3 linked regions of the Caenorhabditis elegans genome follow. The protein of the gene in region 1 purifies or fractionates together with the protein of each later gene. This does not show direct contact. Each region holds a gene or a part of one and is shown in the gene's direction. Other genes may lie near its edges. The genes, in order: btf-1, pole-1 and F32D8.2.

Evidence for each region.
Region 2: the proteins of btf-1 (region 1) and pole-1 fractionate together in Caenorhabditis elegans (co-fractionation; one large-scale study listed by BioGRID). This does not show direct contact.
Region 3: the proteins of btf-1 (region 1) and F32D8.2 fractionate together in Caenorhabditis elegans (co-fractionation; one large-scale study listed by BioGRID). This does not show direct contact.

The regions. Positions count from the first base shown.
Region 1 is NC_003280.10:13,197,114-13,203,632, forward strand, and holds the start of btf-1 (BTAF (TBP-associated factor) homolog), read left to right. Parts: upstream 1-3,051; 5' UTR 3,052-3,057; coding exon 3,058-3,186; intron 3,187-3,559; coding exon 3,560-3,664; intron 3,665-3,717; coding exon 3,718-3,912; intron 3,913-4,729; coding exon 4,730-4,995; intron 4,996-6,104; coding exon 6,105-6,321; intron 6,322-6,519. Other genes in the region: lec-1 (Galectin), read left to right, coding at 1-40, 921-1,496, 2,129-2,365.
Region 2 is NC_003279.8:15,011,367-15,017,885, reverse strand, and holds the start of pole-1 (DNA polymerase epsilon catalytic subunit), read left to right. Parts: upstream 1-3,981; 5' UTR 3,982-4,011; coding exon 4,012-4,052; intron 4,053-4,096; coding exon 4,097-4,735; intron 4,736-4,787; coding exon 4,788-5,118; intron 5,119-5,166; coding exon 5,167-5,786; intron 5,787-5,833; coding exon 5,834-6,080; intron 6,081-6,126; coding exon 6,127-6,229; intron 6,230-6,296; coding exon 6,297-6,519. Other genes in the region: dog-1 (Helicase ATP-binding domain-containing protein), read left to right, coding at 185-413; F33H2.6 (Regulator of microtubule dynamics protein 1), read left to right, coding at 1,307-1,575, 1,635-1,811, 1,968-2,104, 2,466-2,596, 2,773-2,964.
Region 3 is NC_003283.11:10,880,882-10,887,400, forward strand, and holds F32D8.2 (ATPase_AAA_core domain-containing protein), read left to right. Parts: upstream 1-2,896; coding exon 2,897-3,074; intron 3,075-3,118; coding exon 3,119-3,230; intron 3,231-3,278; coding exon 3,279-3,383; intron 3,384-3,441; coding exon 3,442-3,487; intron 3,488-3,530; coding exon 3,531-3,644; intron 3,645-3,689; coding exon 3,690-3,821; intron 3,822-3,868; coding exon 3,869-4,084; intron 4,085-4,129; coding exon 4,130-4,260; intron 4,261-4,303; coding exon 4,304-4,384; intron 4,385-4,429; coding exon 4,430-4,540; intron 4,541-4,583; coding exon 4,584-4,734; intron 4,735-4,785; coding exon 4,786-4,934; intron 4,935-4,984; coding exon 4,985-5,048; intron 5,049-5,104; coding exon 5,105-5,221; downstream 5,222-6,519. Other genes in the region: cat-6 (Protein kinase domain-containing protein), read left to right, coding at 1-50, 116-219, 1,396-1,536, 1,588-1,737, 1,814-2,243, 2,309-2,430; F32D8.3 (TIL domain-containing protein), read left to right, coding at 6,089-6,269, 6,315-6,382, 6,470-6,519.

The DNA.
Region 1 (6,519 bases):
TTCCACTCCTCAATTCCTTCGCTGGTACGAGCAGAACAAGGTAAAGCATGCCTCTATACATGGGGGTGTCAGGCTGTCCCATGTTTGATCTACAAAAAAAAGCGGGAATTTTTTCTCCTGCAACTTTTCGGAGATCAAACTGACATGGGACATTCTGACACCAGCTCGAAAATGGAGAGCATTCCAAGTTTGTTGGTTGCCACTAAAGTGACACATTCCTCTCGTTATCTGCTCGCCCACACCTTCGGTTCCATTATCAACATTCGAGATTCCCGCCATATTTCTGGTGTGTTTGCTCGGCGGCACATCACAACAAAATTTTGTGCAAAATGGAGCAAAATGGAGCTAAAAAATAGAAAGCAACTAGACAATGTAGAAAAGGCATTTTTTGTCGTCGTCAGCTGTATGAAAGTCTGGGGAGCGCGAAGATTGGTGGATGCAGATTGGATAACAGCTCTTCCGCTTTTTCGGGTCTCGCTTCTTGCTCGCTTATTCTGTTCACCAGTGTGTGACACGCGAGGTCCCCCCCCCCCCCCAGCATATATTTCTACATGATTACCCTACTGAACATTTTAAAATGGCATATGGAAGAAGAAATGGTTCTAGAAAACTCTACTTATAAATCTATTACCGAAACACAAAATTCTGAGAATGCGTATCGCGCGACATATTTGACGCGCAAAATATCTCGTAGCGAAAACTACAGTAGTTCATTGTTCATTACATGACTACTGTAGCGCTTGTGTGTCGATTTACGGCATTTCACAAGCGCTACAGTAGGCATTTAAGGAGTTACTGTAGTTTTCGCTACGAGATATTTTGCGCGTCAAATATGTTGTGCAGTACGCATTATCAGAAAAATGTGTTCCCGTAATAATCCAATTAATTTTTTAAAAAATTAAAATTTTTAAATTTTTCAGCCAGTACCATACCGCTCAGTGCTCCAGGAGAAGTTCGAGCCCGGACAGACGCTCATCGTCAAGGGATCGACGATCGACGAGTCGCAACGCTTCACCATCAACCTTCACTCGAAGACCGCGGATTTCTCCGGAAACGATGTGCCACTCCACGTCTCTGTCCGCTTCGATGAGGGCAAAATTGTGCTCAACTCGTTCTCGAATGGAGAATGGGGAAAGGAAGAGCGCAAGTCGAACCCAATCAAGAAGGGAGACTCGTTCGACATTCGCATCCGTGCTCACGACGATCGCTTCCAGATCATCGTCGACCACAAGGAGTTCAAGGACTACGAGCACCGTCTGCCACTCTCCTCAATCTCTCACCTCTCGATTGACGGAGATCTCTACTTGAACCACGTTCACTGGGGAGGAAAGTACTACCCAGTACCATACGAGAGCGGACTCGCCAACGGACTTCCAGTCGGAAAGAGCCTCCTCGTCTTTGGAACCGTTGAGAAGAAGGCCAAGCGCTTCCACGTCAACCTTCTCCGCAAGAATGGAGACATCTCGTTCCACTTCAACCCACGTTTCGATGAGAAGGTAAGGGTTGATATATGCCACGAGGCACCACAGAAAGGAGAACCACGACAAAGGAGAACAGGAACCACGTCCATTTTTCCGTGCCGCGAGAGGCACCACATTTTCAGGATCTGGAACCGTACCAACTGCGGTTTTTGCAGTTTTCTCTCGATGAAAAACGAAACAACGATGCTCCGATGTTATGCGTGTTGTTTAGCGTTTTCCAAAAGTTTTTATTTCAAAAAAACATTATTCTGAACGCTAAACAACACGCGACGCGTCATATCGGAGTATCGTTGTTTCGTTTTTCAGCGAGAGAAAACTGCAAAAACCGCAGTTGGCACGGTGCCCCAGATCCTGAAAACGTGGTGCCTCAAAATTTGCGGAAAACTTGCGGCACGGAAAAATGGGTGTGGTTTCTGTGTTCTCCTTGTTCACCTGTTCTCCTTTCTGTGGTGCCTCACACACACATACACAAAAAGACCCGCATTTTGTTTGCTACATTTGGGCAAATATGGCGCTCTTCAACAAACAATTTTATGAGACACAAAAGTTTTGCATGTGTCTATTTCTATTGGTAAAATTGGTGAAAGGACAAAAAAAAATCGATTTCAATAGAAATTTGACCAAATTCTTTATTTCCTTTCTTCCAGCACGTCATCCGCAACTCTCTTGCCGCCAACGAATGGGGAAATGAGGAGCGCGAGGGAAAGAACCCATTCGAGAAGGGAGTCGGCTTCGACTTGGTCATCCAAAACGAGGAGTACGCGTTCCAGGTGTTCGTCAACGGAGAACGCTACATCTCGTTCGCTCACCGCGCCGATCCACACGACATTGCCGGGCTTCAGATCTCTGGAGACATTGAGCTGTCTGGAATTCAAATCCAATAAATTATGTATTGATATCCCCTGTTCCCCCTCTTTCTTCTGTTATCCAGCTCTCCCATTTCTCTCTCTCTCACTGATCAATCTTCCAAAAGTCTACTGCCCCTCTCCCCCCCCCCCCCCCCCAAAAAGAATCATTTCTCTATTATTTCGCACCGGCAACTGAACTGTAATCCCGCGTTTTTCTTTTTGTATCTTTTCTCACCCCCCACATTGTATTTTAATAAAATTGGATAGCAGATTTTCTCGTTGTCATTTCAGGTTTCATATTTTGAAAGCGGATCATCATGAAAAGTTCTGCGAAAAAAACGCGAAAAGTAAGCGAAAACTCGAAAAAACTATATTTGAAAGTACCGCCGTTTTTGTCCAGGAGAGCGCGTTTTCCTCGAGTCACTACAAATTGCACGGAAGTCGAATCGTGAAAACCGCGCGTGTTTCCCATCAGGTTTGCCTACAAAATTTAGTTTTCTTCTTATTGTTAAATCAATAATTATTATAATGTATAATGTGAAGCTCGAAATCTTGAATAATCCTGAATAATCCTGCTATAAACTCGGGTTTCTAAAGTTTTCCTCAGGATTTTTGTTCCCTGGAATGCGTGGTGTCTCCCATTTTTTTTTGGATTTTTGGATTTAAATGCATTTTTCGCTGTTTTTTCTCTCAAATAAGCCGGAAAAATTGAAAATTTTCAGTTTCCGATGAGCGCCGACACGTCGGCTCGTCTTCTTCAGCTTGACCCTCTACTCGAAGCGAAAAATCCGAATGTTCGAAATGAAGCGGCCGCTGCGTTCGGGAAATTGTCAATTTTAAGTGAAGACGTGAAAAATGTTGGTTAATTAATATATATTTTTTTTAAATCACAAGAAAAAGTAAAAAATCACGGGTGAAAAGCGAGTTTATATATTTTTTTCCCTCGAAATGCCGAATATTAATTATAAAATTCAGTATTTTTGGGTTATTTTGAGTATTTTGAAGGTGTACTAACGGTTTAGACTCAAAAACCGTTAGTCTTCGTTTAAAATACTCAAAATGCCCCAGAAATACTGAATTTTATAATTAATTTTCGATATTTCGAGTGAAAAAAACATATAAGCTCGCTTTTTTCCGGTGATTTTTCACTCATTTTCAGTGATTTTTTCACTTTTTTCAGGGGTTTATCTTTTTTAAATACTTTAAATATATAAATAATCTTAATTTCAGAGTCTCAAAAAACACGCGGCATCTCAACTCTGGGAGACACGAGTATCTGCTGGAAAAGCGTTGCAGGCGACACTTCAGAATGCTCCAGAATTCGAACGATTGAAGGTTTTTCTGAGCTTTTTGAGTTATGAAATTCTTTAAAAAAATCGATTTTTCAGAATGAAGAAGACTCATCGGTATCGGAAAATGTCAGAAGCATCGTTGTGATGAACGTTTTACGATCGTTCAAGCCACTGTTAAGTGATGATGAGTCGGCACTGAAAAAGTCGGAAAAAGATCGAGGAAATAATCAGAAACAGCGGGAAATTGTAGATCAACACCTTGAATACAATCGGGCCACCGGAATAAGCTCGGTATCGATTTTTCCGGCAGTTTTCTGGGGAAAAAACCAAAAAAAAACGAATCTGGCGCCCAGATTTGCTTAAAAGTCAATTTTTTTTTCAATTTTTCACAAAGTTTTTTGAGAAAATTTGGATTTTAGCTAAAATTTTAGTACGTTTTTCTTGCAAAAATTTGGGGTTTTCTGAGTTTTCGGTTTCTAACCCATGAAAATTCGAATTTGGAACCCAGAAAGTCATTTTTTTCAATTTTTTAGAAAAAATCGAAGAAAAATTGCCGAATTGCCGGAATTGAAAAATTCTGGCAAATCGGCGAAATGCCGAAACTGAAATTTTCCGGCAAATCGATAAACCGGTAACTTGCCGAAATTAAAATTGAAATTGCTTTGAAATTGAAAATATTAAAACTGGAAATTCCCGGCAAAACGGCAAACTACCGAAATTGAATACTGGCAAATCGGTCATTTGCCGGAAATTTCAAATTCCGGCAATATGCCGATTTGCCGGAAATTTCAAATTCCGGCAATATGCCGATTTGCCGGAAATTTCAAATTCCGGCAATATGCCGGATTTGAAAACTTTTGGCAAATCGACAAACCGGCAATTCGTGGAAAATCGAAAAATTTCCGGGAAATCGGCAATTTGCCCGAATTGAAATTAAAAATTGAAATTTCCGGCAAAACGGCAAATTGCCGGATTTGAAAACTTCTGGAAAATCGGCAAAAAAGGCGAAAATTGCGGATTTGCCGGTTTTGCCGAAACAATGTACAATTGCCGCTCACCCCTGAAAGAGATTATTAAGAAAACGTTGAACATTAAATTTTCATTTCAGACAAAATTCCTCAGCGACGACGAATTTTTGCATCAAGGAATCTCGGAACCAGATCAACCATCAACTAGTAAAGAATTGGATGAGGTGGTCACGAAAATTGAGATTTTTGATGAAGAAAATGGCAATTGTGATGATGGAATTGAAAGGCAAAAGAAGTTTTTGAAGGTTTTAAGGGAATTAGTGAATTTGGTAGCCGAGAAACAATGGTACGCAAGGCATGGCGGTGCGATTGCTATTTGTCAGATTGCTTCTACTTCTTATGACAGGTACTTGGCAGGATTTTTTGGGATTTGAAGAATTTTATTGAAAAAATCTAACTTTTATTTTAAAGGCAGAATTTAAACAAAAAAAATAAAATGATTTTTTCAATTTTGAAAAAAAACAACAATACGGGAACACAAAATTCTGAGAACGCGTATTGCACAACATATTTGACGCGCAAAATATCTTGTAGCGAAAACTACAGTAATCCGTTAAATTACTACTGTAGCGCTTGTGTCGATTTACGAGCTCGAGTTTGAAATGAATTTCTTTCGAAAAATTACAGCGATTCTGAATTTTTTGTAGGTTTTTCGTCTTTTTCAAAATTATTTTTGTGTTTAAAAAAAAAATATTTCATCGATTAATAAATCATTTTCGTAATTCGACACAAACGCTACAGTAGTCATTTAAAGAATTACTGTAGTTTTCGCTACGAGATATTTTGCGCGTCAAATATGTTGTGCAATACGCATTCTCCGAATATTGTGTTCCCGTAATAACTGCCTAATTAAATTTGATTTCCCGCGCAAATCAATAACCTTATTTCGACAATTTCGCGTTTTCTGACTAATTTTACCCGTTTTTCCTGATTTTTTCCTTATGTATTGGATTTTAAACACCGTCTGAAAATTTGTCAGACGCATTGAAGGTTTTTTTAAACATTTATTTACAATTTTTTTGCAGGAAAAAATATAGAAGTAAAAATAATTTTTAAAAAACTGAAGAATTTAGCCAGAAAACCCGTGGTGCGAGGTTGTCCAATTACTGTTTGATCTACAAAAATGCGGGAAATTTTTTTGCCCGAAAAAATGTGACAATCAGTTGAGAACTCTGCGTCTCTTCTCCCGCATTTTTTGTAGATCTACGTAGATCAAACCGAAATGAGACAATCTGACCATGTGAGAAAACACGAAAATGACGTCACTCACTTGCGCGGGAATTAAAATTTTTTAATTCGGCCGTTTCTTAGATTTTTGAAAAAGTTAAGAATCATTCAAAAAAATTAAATTATCTTTAAAATTTTTTTTATAGTTATTCCCTGGACTCTACTCCACGTTTGAAGAATTTTATTTTTAAAAAATTAAAAAATCTATCTTTTTTTTCCAAATTTCAGATTATCCTATGAGCTAATCGACACAATACTCTATCTACTGATCCATGTGCTCATTCTCGACAAGTTCAATGATTTCATCTCTGGCAGAAATGCGACGGCTCCGGTTAGAGAGCAATGTGCTCAAGCTCTCGTCCACATGCTTCGAAATACGGATGAAAAGCGACGGGAGGTGGTTCTAGAGATTGTCGTGCAGATGGTCAGGACGCCAGGAGAAAAAGTGAATTTTTAGTTGAAAAAATTGATTTAAAAAAATTTTTTTAGATAAAAAAAATGAGAATTTTGCTCTTTTTGCTCCAAAAGTGCTCCAAAAAAAAATTTTTAATGCGAAAATATATTTTGAAAAATCGACGAAAATTTCGCAAAGGTTGAAATTACAGTACTCTTTAAAGGCGCATACCCTTTCACATTAAAAAAA
Region 2 (6,519 bases), on another chromosome or scaffold:
TTTAAAGAAATACTGTAATTTTCGCTGCGAGATATTTTGCGAGTCAAATATGTTGTAAAATACGCATTCTCAGGATTTAGTGTTCCCGTAATATCAAATCTATAATATCACGTGAAATAAGGGAATCAGTAGAAAAACCATCTGGCCAAATTTCACTACAATCTAAAATTCATTAAATCTTCAGATGTCTCCGGCACAAAAACGACTGGGGAGCAATGCTAATGATCGATGAACGCCTAGAACGTCAAACTGGAAATCTTGTGGGCGGAGCCTCGTCTGCTCGTGTCTCAAAATGGATTCGTGCTCAACTGAAAAGCTATCCGAGTTTTAAAGAATTTAATGCGAATTTTCGCGAATTCATCCAGCGTCGACACGCTGTTGAGAAAGCAAAAAAAGAGAATTTTTGTGAATGAATTAAACTTTTTCTAACTTTTTTTTTTCGATTAAAACCCCCGCCCCTTATCTTTTTTACGTGTAAAATTTATGATTTTTCCTCATTTTCTTAAACAATTTTTAGACGTCTTTTTTAAAAGTTAGAATCTCCCTAATGCATTGTTTTTACCCCTTTTTTCAAATCGATTTTCATAAAGCTTGGCCGAACTTTTTCTCTCTTCTCTCATTATCACTTATCAGTGTTTACCTTTACACCACTTGTACTTTGAACTGTGAAATGCTGACAACATTATAGCGTTCTCAGTAGCCTACGAGAATTTTTCTAAAACTTGCCTGGAACCAGTTTGAACGCAAAATTTTTCCCTTTCGAGTGTTCAAAATTAATTTTCAAATTTTCATTTTGTTCGAAAAAGGTTTTGGCGTATGACTCTTTCCGAATATCTTTGTGAAATTAAAAAAAAACTTCTCGGATTTAATATTTCAGCTTGAAATCTCGCACCCAAAACTTAACGCGCCAGAGGCAGTCTCATTGGGGCGCACCGTGCTGTGTCGATTTACGGGATTTTTCACCATCTGTCATGTTTTTTCAAAAACTTTTTTTTTGGTTATTATTTGGAAAATTGTTTTTTCCGTGTCAATTGAACATTTTATTATATCCAAATCACAACTCGATGAAAATCCGAATTTTCGAAAAAAAAAACGATAAATTTAAGGCTTTTTTAGTTTAAAAAATTTAAAGATATTCGGAATTAGGGGGTTGGAATAATTCAGTGAATGCGTCTTTGAGTATGAGTTTTTTGAAAAATTACCTATGTACTTGGAAAAAGGCCATCGAAATTAATAATATATTTTTGTTTCAATATTTATAATTTATTTAAAATTGTCTAATTTTTGCAGCCTCTGAAGAAAAAAAATGTTCAAACGAGTATTCAATCTCCGTTTTATTTCGAATTTCTCTCGCCGCCCGACATCTTCTCCAAAACTTCCGAAATTAATTGCAATCACTGGTGGAACCTCGCTTGGAATCGCATTTTTTGGAAAAACTGAAGAGAACAAGAATTTGGACTCAGGAAATGGACAATTAATTGATGGAAAACCGAAAAATTTCGATTTAATTGTTCGAAATTCGGATGAACTTTATGATAATTATCTAATCGATAATTGTTATAATATTTTGAAAAAGTGAATTTTCAATTAACTTTTAGAAATGTCCATTTTAACTTTTCTTTCCAATTTTTAAGATTTGAAAATTCCAATTGCTCCGAGCTTCTATGGCGTCTGGCACGTGTGGTTTGTGAGAAAGGAAAACTCTCAAAAGATCAAAATCAACGAAAAGAGCTCATTTTGGAAGCCTATGGAATTGTGAAAAAAGCTCTTGACAATGAGCCAAAGAATGGATGCTTTGGAGCACATAAATGGTACGATTTGGAGTTAAAACGCTATTTATTCCGGGTAGAACAACACAATTTTGCGAGAAAAAAAAACTATGACTGAGGGTGGAAATCGAAAACTGAGCACCTGCCTTTTTTGGCGGCTGAGTTTTAGCATTTTCTATGCCACATGGCTATCTTTAGGTATGCCATTCTACTGGATTACGTTGGAGAGATCGAGGGAAACAAATCGAGAATCGAAAAATCATTCCAAGTGCGGAAACATTTAGAGAAGGCGTTATCGATTTTCGAGAACGATCCAACAACGTGGCATATTTTGGGTAAGGGATTCCGGATTGAACAGAGAAAAAAAAAGAAAAATCATGTTAGAATTTATTCACGTGGAGTCAGACGGTCCCTTTTCGCTTTGATCTACGAAACATGCGGGAGGTGAGACGTAGACATCTCAACTGATTTCGCATGGTTAACAGTGTGCTTACGTCACAAATTTTCTGGGAAAAAATTCCCGCATTTTTTGTAGATCAAACCGCAATGAGACTTTCTGACACCCCGTGTTTATTCCGAATTAAAGCTCTACAGCTCACCGTTCAATCAACGGGGGCGGGCGGTGCTTAACCATTATTTTTTTTAGATATTTCTGCATTTCGCTTCGAGAATTAAAAAGAAAACCTCAAATTTCAGGAGTCTGGCACTTTTCCTTCGCCAATATGGGTTACGCGACTCGAATGGTGGCCAAAGCTATTTTCGCAACTCCACCAGCATCCACATATCAGGAGGCTCTACACTATTTCCTAAAGGCTGAACAGATTTCGGTAAAAAAATATCAGAATTCAAACACTTTTAGTGAATCTCTCATAGTCAATCAAAAACATACAAAAATGAAAAGTTGTCGACCAAATTTTTTTACACTTTGAACATTTTCCTCCACTTGGGAAGTAAATAGTGCCACGAAAAATTCAGATCATTATAGTTAAATTCAAATTTTCAGCCCGGATTCTACAGTACGAATACCTACTACATTGGCGAAGTGTACGAACAACTAGGACAAAAAGCCGAAGCACTTGATGCATTCAAACAATCATTCAAAATGCCAGTTGTGACTTCTGATGACGCGGTTATTCATAAGAAAGCATACGAGAAACTGAAGAAATATGGAGTCAAGGATACTGAAGTTGTTTAGATTGTGAAAAATATGTATTTGTAAGATGATTGTTGTAATTTTTAACAGAATAAAAATATTTATTTGAATTTAATAATTGTCTAATGTCAGCTAAATAATATTGTCGGAAATGAGGCACCACGGTTTCAAGATCTGGTGAAATTCCGGATCTACGTTTTCCGGAAATACGATTTCCGGATCTACGTTTTCCGAATCTAGCACCGTGCCAACCCACAAAACGCTTTTTTATTCACTCGACGCACGTTGTTTTTTGAAAATTTCTTCTAGAAGAAACGCTTAACAACACGCGACGCTTAACAACGGAGCATCGTTGTCACGTTTTTCTCCGAGAAAAATAGCGTTTTAAGAGTTGGCCAGATCCGGAAAACGTAGATCCGGAAATGGTAGATCCGGAAAACGGAGATCCGGAATTTTACCAGATCTTGATACCGTGGTGCGAGGCACCACGTTTTCAAGATCTGTTCAAAAACAAGATCTACGAAAACAAGATCCACCAAAACAAGATCTACGTTTTCAGGATCTGGCACCGTGCCAACTGCGGTTTTCTCGAAGAAAACGAAACAACGATGCTCCGATGTTACGTTCGCGTGTTGTTTAGCGTTCAAACGAATATTTTTTGAAATTTTCTTCTAGAATTTACGCAACACGCGTACGCACGCGTAGAGAAAACCGCAGTTGGCACGGTGCCAGATCCTGAAAACGTAGATCTTGTTTTGGTAGATCTTGAAAAGGTAGATTTTGTTTTGGTGGATCTTGTTTTCGTAGATCTTGTTTTTGAACAAATCTTGAAAACGTGGTGCCTCCGTGGTGCCTCTCGGAAATTCAATTGTATTGCTTTAAAATTCAAATTCTGCTCCTTCCCTCCATTTTATGATCTGGTGGCCTAGAATTCCACCCAACTCGTCCTCTGGCCGAGCGCGCGAAATCTTGCATTTTAAACTCGATTTCCCATGAAATTAACTTAAATTTGCCATTTTATCTAGTTTTTTCTTTAGTTATTTGATTTTCAGTATTTTCAGACAAGTTCGGTCATCGCCAGCAAGCTCAATGAGCTCCAAGGATGACATTCTTGCACAGGCGGTCGAAAAGTTTGTTTCAAGAATGGAGAAAGTATAAAATCTTCTTTTTTTAGTGATTCAAACTACAAAGAGCGGCTTGCCCTGATCAGATCAAATGATGAGATTGATGCGAAGCTTGGTTTCTCTAGATACACAGGACTACAGGAGAAAAAAGGATTTCTGATAAACATCCAACCTTCGGAGCTTGTCGACGAGCAAACCAAAGTTATTATTTCGGTCGTTGACTATTTCTTCATCAGTGATATGGACGAACGCTTCAAAATCAGTTACCCATTTCGACCGTATTTCTATATTGCCACGTTGGATGGATTTGAATTCCAAGTATCCAGTTATCTGTCCAAGAAGTACGGAGCCCAGACAGCAGTTGAACATATGGATCGGGAGGATTTAGATTTGAAAGATCATCTTTCTGGGTTGAAGAAGACATATATCAAACTCTCATTCACCAGCACCGTGGAATTGATAAAAATCCGTAAGGAATTAATGCCGCTGGTGCGGAAAAACACAGATCGCATCAAAAAAGAGTCGGCGTACGCTGACTATTTGGCGAGGAATCTGAGTGGAAAAGGAGGAGATAGTAAGGATCAACAGTTGAATGGTGACATCTTGAATCAAATTGTTGATATCAGAGAATACGACGTGCCTTTTCACATGAGAGTTTCCATCGATGAAAAGATCTTCGTCGGATTATGGTTGGAATCATCCTTTTCTTCTTTTTTAAATTCTAAATTTATAAATTTCCAGGTACGATGTGAAAGGAATTGGCCCGAACCGTGTTCCAACAATAAAGCGAAAAGATTTGCCCTTGTTCCACGCAAAGCCGAAAGTTCTCGCCTTTGACATTGAAACAACGAAACTTCCGTTGAAATTTCCGGATCGTGAGAGCGATGAAATTATGATGATATCATATATGGTTGATGGACGTGGATTTTTGATTATCAACCGAGAAATCGTGTCGGCTGATATTAATGCGTTCGAATACACACCGAAAGCCGAGTACATAGGAGAATTCACAGTCTGGAATGAGAAGGACGAAGCTGCTCTGATTCGGAAATTTTTCGATCATTTTTTGCAGGTAAATTCTACTTTTAAACTGAATTTGATTAGAATCATTTTCTTGCAGGTTCGTCCAAATATTGTTGTCACCTACAATGGAGATTTCTTCGATTGGCCATTCGTAGAAGCTCGTGCCAAGATCCGCGGATTCAATATGGAAAGGGAAATCGGATTTTCTAAGGATTCCGCCGATGAGTACAAATCACGAAATTGTATTCATATGGACGCTTTCCGATGGGTCAAACGTGACTCATATCTACCGGTTGGAAGTCAGAATCTGAAGGCAGTGACGAAGGCAAAGCTGAGATATGATCCAGTTGAGGTGGAGCCGGAACTGATGTGCAAAATGGCTCGAGAGCAGCCTCAACAGCTGGCCAATTACTCGGTTTCGGATGCAGTGTCCACTTATTATCTCTACATGAAGTATGTTCATCAATTTATCTTCGCTTTGTGCACAATTATCCCACTAGGAGCAGATGACGTGTTGAGAAAAGGATCTGGAACACTTTGTGAAGCTCTTCTGATGGTTGAAGCATTCCATAACAATATTGTGTTCCCGAACAAGTACACTGGACCAGAGGAGACAAGATTCAGTAAAGATGGACATCGTGTTGAGAGCGAGACCTATGTCGGAGGACACGTGGAAGCTCTGGAGGCCGGCGTATTCAGAGCGGATATTCCAGCAAAGTAAATTCAGGATTCATTTGAAAGCGAGAAAATAACGATTTTTTCAGATTCCGGCTTTCCGTTCCTGCTCTTGAGCAATTAAAATCCGAGATTCAAGAGACCCTTCGCAAGGAGCTGGCTCGAGAGTTTGAGGTCACTCTTGACCAGGTCGTTGACTTTGATGAGCAGTGCGCTGAAGTTCAAGATGCATTTGATGGAATGATAAATGTGCCAACACGCCTCGAGAATCCACGTATCTACCATTTGGACGTCGGGGCCATGTACCCCAACATCATTTTGACTAATCGATTGCAGGTTAAGATTTGGACTGATATATATTTAACTATTCTCTGATTTTCAGCCATGTGCGATGGTCACCGAGGAGATTTGCATGGGATGCTCCTACAACAAACCAGACGCAGAATGCAAGAGGACGATGGCTTGGGAATGGAGGGGAGAGCTGAGTACGGAATAATGATTTTATATTTATTGAAAGCCCAAGCAAATCTAGCCCAAATCTGAAATTTTCAGCACCAGCCACTCGAGGAGAATACCAGCAAATTATGCAGCAACTCGAAGCAGAATCGTTTGGAAAACCACCGAAACACTTTCATATGCTCGAGAGATCGGAGCGAGAAGCCATCGAAATGAAGCGTATCAAAGATTACAGCAGGCGTGTCTACGGAAAGACTCATTTGACAAGATTAGAAATGAGAGAAACTACAATTTGTCAACGGGAGAATCATTTCTACGT
Region 3 (6,519 bases), on another chromosome or scaffold:
AGCCCGTTCGAGTTCCGTAACCGTTCTATACGACAGGAGAAATCGAAAAGGTTTGCTTTCGTTTTTCTTTCATTTTTCATATAATCAAAATTATACCCCTTTGCAATCTTTACAGGTGTTTCTCTTGATAGAAACAATAATTATGCATCTCGTGAAGTTGAAAAACAACCTAGAATGGTTCATACATCATCTCGTCACGTCAATGAAGGATTTTTTGGAGTGAGTCAGAACATGAACCTGAGCCAATCTTGTTTTTTTTCAACATTAATAATGGGGGATAAGTACAACTATACACTTTTCGTATATATGTGCACTTTCTGAATGTCCATTCCATTTCCGTCCACTCGTTTTTTTTTTCATTTTTCTTTTTACTTTTACTTATTACTTTTTTGAGCAAGTTGTGAGTCTCCAGATGTTTCTGTTATTGCATCATATGCTTGGTACGGGGACTAGTACGGAAATGGGAACGAAGAAAGAATAAGAGAGTCACCGGAAATGGTCCCAATAGGTATTTTTTGTATATGTTTATGGGATGTTGACTCATCGAACAAAATGTCTAGGGTTGAGAATGTTTTGAAAGCTAAGTGAATCAACGATCAGAATTTGATTGTGATTATAGGTTTGAACATGTTTCTTCAGTTTCTTCAGTTCATTCATAGTATCGGTTGCAGTTCGGCAATTGAGGGTATTCCCCTTGTCCATATTTCTTTTTGATCCTTGGAAGCCTCGCAATCGTGGCTTTGAAATTAAAATTTTTACTGATAAAATTTTGAATTTCCCGTACTTTGCCAGTTAAAAGAACTGTTATCTATGAGGGTCCATACAAAAAAGCATTTAAATTGAAAGAATTCACCAATTTTTACAAAATTGACAAGAACAACAAAGTAACCTTCAAACTTCGAAATATTTACCTCATGCTCCCAATAAACTTCCAACGTTTGGCCGATTTTTCACTTCAGTAAGCATGCTTGTCTGTCCCGATCTTTTGTTGATACGTTGTGTCAAAAGTTTTTAAAAGTTCAAAATTTACGTAATACCCAAATAAAACATGTCTACTTTCTGCAATTACTGCCAAAGATCTACGAAAGAAATGTTCCACCTCATTGACTTTAGCGACCTATTTAACAAATATTTTACTTTTAGCAAACGAACACTTCTGGAAAATGTTTTTTGAACGCAAAGGCCTTGTTCCATTTTCCTTCTCGGCACATCCGTCATAACAATAACTTGTAGTATGTTCAAGGGACAAACCGCTTCTGGGTTTAGGTTAGAATATGCATAAGAAATTGGGATGAGGGAAATACTACATTCCGGATAGTTAGGCAACAGATCATGTCACTAATGGAATCTTTCAGCGTCTCACTTTCTTCATTCAACTTTCATTTCTTTATTTAGGTTTCCAAATGGATCCAACGTGTTGACGGGCGTCAAGACATTGAAAAGCAATACGAGATTGGGGCTATTATTGGCAAAGGAAATTTCTCGAGTGTGCATTTAACTCGACGCAAGGAAGATGGCACCAAATGTGCGCTTAAGGTTCGGTACCAGTCAACATTGCAATTTTCATTTCCTTCAAAGTTTTTTCAGCAAGTTGAGAAAAGAGCAATGCGAGGGAAATGCTTTTTTGTGGACAATGAGGTGGAGATGTTGTCACTCATTCAACATGATCACATCATATCGATTATCGATGCTTTTAGCACTGAAAATCAATACTTCATAGTTTTCGAACATGCACAGGTGAATGATACTCCCAGTTTTGAACAATAACGTGCAAAACTTGACAACACAGTTTGAAAAAAAAAGATTTTTTCAGTACGGGGACTTATATGAAACTATCCGTAAAAATGGTCGAATCGAGGAACCAGATGCTGCTATCATAACTCTCCAAGTTGCATCTGCACTCAATTATCTTCACGAAAGAAATGTGGTTCACAGAGATGTCAAACCTGAAAATCTTCTTCTCGTTGACAAATTTAGTGTGAAGCTTTGCGATTTTGGATTGGCATGTCACATTCTTGGACCTCTGTACCGTATCTGTGGAACCCCAACCTATTGCGCACCAGAAGTTCTTCGGGAGACCGGATATTCGACAAGATGTGATATTTGGTCCCTTGGAGTTGTTCTTTATGTTATGCTTGTTGGATATGCTCCATTCCGTGCACCAGATCAAACCAGATTATTCAAACTTATAATGCAAGCTAAACCAAATCTGGATATGCCAGAATGGAAAGGAATTTCATTGAGTGAGTTGACTGAAACTGAATCTCTAGAAAAAAAATTATTCATAGAAAAAGGAGCAAATTTTCAGAGGCTAAAGATTTGGTATCTCGCTTGATGAATAAAACTGAAGAACGCCGACCACTTGCATCCCAAATAATGGCTCATCCATGGATTGCTCCATACACCATGGAAAATATTGATGATGAATGAATGAAGAAAATTTATAAGTATTGCCCGGTGCCAATGTCTTTCCTTTTCTTGCATATTGATTTGAATAAATAAAATGTACAGTTAAATTTATAAGTTTTCAAAATCTCTTCAAGATAAAAAAACGTGCTCCTATTAAAAAACAGATACATAAAAGTATATTAAAATTGATAAACGCAAACAATTTCTACTTTTTTCGCAGTGTGAGCGGCTGAAAGATTGAACTATTTCCGATGAAAGATGGTGAAAGCCCGTGACTGATGGTTATCCAAAAGACAGTTTCGATGCACTTTTCACGTCAAAATTATATATTTTTAACAACTTTCCTCTTTATAAATACCAAGTTGTAACATATAATCAACTGACCATATCTGGTATTCATTTGTTACATGAACTGGTTCCGGCATTAAGCATCCCCGTCTCTTATGTACATTCATTTGTTCATTCACACCACAAAAGCCATTTAACAATGTCGTTCAATCTAAGAAAACACCAAAGTATTCTTCCAAGTAGCATGATTTTAATGTTTCTTTGCTTTTTTCTTTTAATATTTTCGGTGATAATGAGTCATTTTTCAATCGAGATTAAAGAATTTGATAAGGATGGTGGAATCAAGTATAAACCAGAGTTTGTTTATTCCTTGGTAGGTATGTGATGTTTTTGATTAATTTTCCTGCAGTCTGATTTTCAGAAACCAGAGAATTACTGACCAATGTTTGTAAACTTCCATATATTTTCTTTCCGAATGAAGATGAGGACGTTTTTGGACTTACACCGGACAAATCGAAACAACATATTGTGAGGTGAGGAAAATTGAATTATGCAGAAAATCCAATGAATAACATTTCAAGAGGCGAATGCAAAATAAATGAACTGAATGAAAAGGTTGACTTATCATCTGACGGATATTTGACACTTCGATCAAAAAATACAAATGATTTACCCTCTGATATAAGGTTTGAACTATTTAATTTTTTGTCTTCAATAAGTCAATAACTCAACATATAACTTCAGATGCACCTTTTACAAAAATAGTGGGCCAAATGAGCACCCAATTAAGGTATGAAAGTTAAAATTAAATCTTTAATAATCATAAACATCAGGTTGAAAAAAATGTGCCCGTTAAAGTTCCATTCTACAATTTTGCTTTTGCTTGCGAAAGAAACGGTATTGTTGAATTTCTGAAACCCTTTGTGAATTTTGCATCAATTCCAAAAGTAAGATGAGTTAACAATAGAATCTAAAATTCAACACCATTTTAGAAATCAAACGGGGGATCAATTGCCATAATATTTCTTCCAGCAATAAATCACAAACTATTTATGAAGAAAATGCCGTTGAGTAAGCATTTCATGCAAGACAACCAGTTCAGATTTGCACAATTTATGAGCAAAGTAAGATGTTACTCGATTTTGTAATTATCAATATCGCTAATATTCAGAATGAACCAAATTCAATGCAAGATTTGTTACTACAACTTGGAATTTCAAATAAAATTAATATGTTCAGAAAAGCAAAGCAAAATAATTTTACAACTTTTTTCTCTGGTCCACAACAAATCAGATATATGATTGATGTAGATTATGATACTTTGGATCATCAGAATTTCATAACACAATTCTTAATTGATGGAAACTTATGTTTGAAAAATGGAAAAGTAAGTTTTATATTTCAAAAAAAGTTTATATCACAATTTTTCTAGAAATTAGTAAATGATCAATTGGAAAAAATCGGAGCATTTCTGACATCAACAGCAGATTCCAAGGTGTTTTCAGCAATGTTTATTGATGAATATGATGAATATCGTAGACAATCAATTGATCAAGATTTGAAGTATTATAAAAGTTTTTGAGGAAAAAAACGGACCTTTTTTCAGAAAAATGTTGGATCTATTAAAGGAATCAAACATTTTCGAGAACACTACACTAATCATCACTTCGTACGACTTATCAACAAAGTGAGATTCTTATTTACATTACATGTTAATTTGAACAATTTGCAGAGATATTGAAAACGAAAACGACAAATATCCAATGTTTGCTTTTCGTCCATCCAACCAATTCATAGAAAATAATAATCAGAAACTATATTTCATGAATATGAATTTCAACAGGTTAGGTCTAAAAATTATATTTAAAAAGAATATCTGAGTTTAGGTTATTGTCTTCTACTAATTTCAATCAAATGCTTGTTGAATTAATCAATCCGAAAGAAAAATCTTCAAAATCTGTCTTCATAGCTCAACCAACATCAAGGAACTGTACGTCTGAAGGAATATCAGAAAATATATGTTTATGCATGAATATGGTAATTTCTTTGAAAGTCGGAGAAAAATATAATTATACTTTCAATGTTTAGAGTACATCCTCTGGGTATCCTGAAAAAGGCGAAAAAAACTTCCTTCAAACATTGCGAACAAGATTTACACAAGAAGTGAAAACACACAAATGTGTTCGTTCGTTTGAACTTGAAGATTATAAAATTTTTTATGAATACTCAATTGGAACGTGCGTTATTTTATTTGTATTTCTCTACAATTAGATAAACTGTTGTTCAGAAGTAAGGAAGTACGTGGCGTAGAATTGACCGGATTTGTGAATATTATCAGTTCAAGGGGTAAGGTAAGTTCAATTAATTTTATCTTTTTTTGTTGCAACTAATTTGTTTTTTTTTCCAGAAAACCCTTTTGCTGAAAAAGATGTTCACCTTCAAACCGGAGTTTGCTTCATTTAATAGTTTCGATACAGCAAGGGTTGTTGTCGGTTATGAAGTTAACATTGGTATTGCAAGGTAGGGATTTCCGGTGGAAATTGTTTATTTATTAATCTGTTTTCAGCATGTGTGATTTGTAAAACAACAATCTCACAGGCACTGGCAAAGATTAATACGAGATTCCAAATTTCAGAATGTCACATATCTCACTATATAGTTTGTTCTTATTATTTTTCAAATTATATATGAAATTGATTTTAAGCATATTGTTTTTTTTCCAAAACTGACCCACATAAACAACGAATTTTCATCCCCCGTTTCACCTCATTTCTTTCGTCCTTCCTAGTTTTTCCCTCGCTTTCCATTCTCCTTTTTATTCGATTTTACGCCCTTTTCATCAGCTTTTCCCCTCAATCCTTATCAAATTCCATTACATCACCATGTTCCTCTGTGTTCTGTGATTGTTTCCATATCAATTAGTTCTGTACAGATGACCACCTTTTGTCCGAATCCCCAGCCCGTCTCGTTCGTCACGTTTTTCACTCACTTTCTTCTTCAGTTCGGTTCCACAAACGGCTTCCGTCTGCGTCTCTGAACATTGTTTCACTGTTTCTTCTCTCTTTTTTTTGTCTACTGAGACATACAAAACCTTGTAATAATATCTAGATGCAGGTCTCACCTTACTGTACTATTTTTCGAGATCTGAATTTCCTCGAGACTATTAAAGACGGACTGAAACAGTGGCTACTTCTGTAGAGTGAAGCCATGTTTGAATGTTTGAAGGCCGTTCCTCTAGATTTTTATAGCTTTTATCGGAATTGCCCATCATCATCAAATTAATAATATCGTATTCCTTTCCGATTCATATTCGCACCTTGCCATTCCATTTGTCTGAACTGTTCCATTTCCATCTCTCATTCATTACATTCACCTACATTCTCATTTGCAGATGCATACTCTCTCCATTTTATTACCTTTTCTACTTGTGTTATCCACATTTTCTCAAGTATCTCATGAGTTCCGGCATAAAGCTTTTCGAACATTGAAAACTCCAAAAGTCAATAAACAAAGGTTATCTTTGATTATTCAAAGACTACGTATGAATGATACCACTAGAATAAATGGAGAAGGTATGTAATTTGAATGGGAATTTAAATACAATTGAAAGGTTTCAGAAAACTGCCCTATGTTCCAATCATTTTCTCATTGTGCCTGTGAATCAACCTGCAACAATCCAGACCCGGTAAGAACCTTTTTTCTCAAATCCAATCGTAAATAACAGGCAAAGTTTCCAATAGTACTATTATCGGTATAATTCAAAAAATTCCAGTATTGCTCTAAATGTGAGCCTGGATGCACTTGTCGAAATGGATTTGTTCG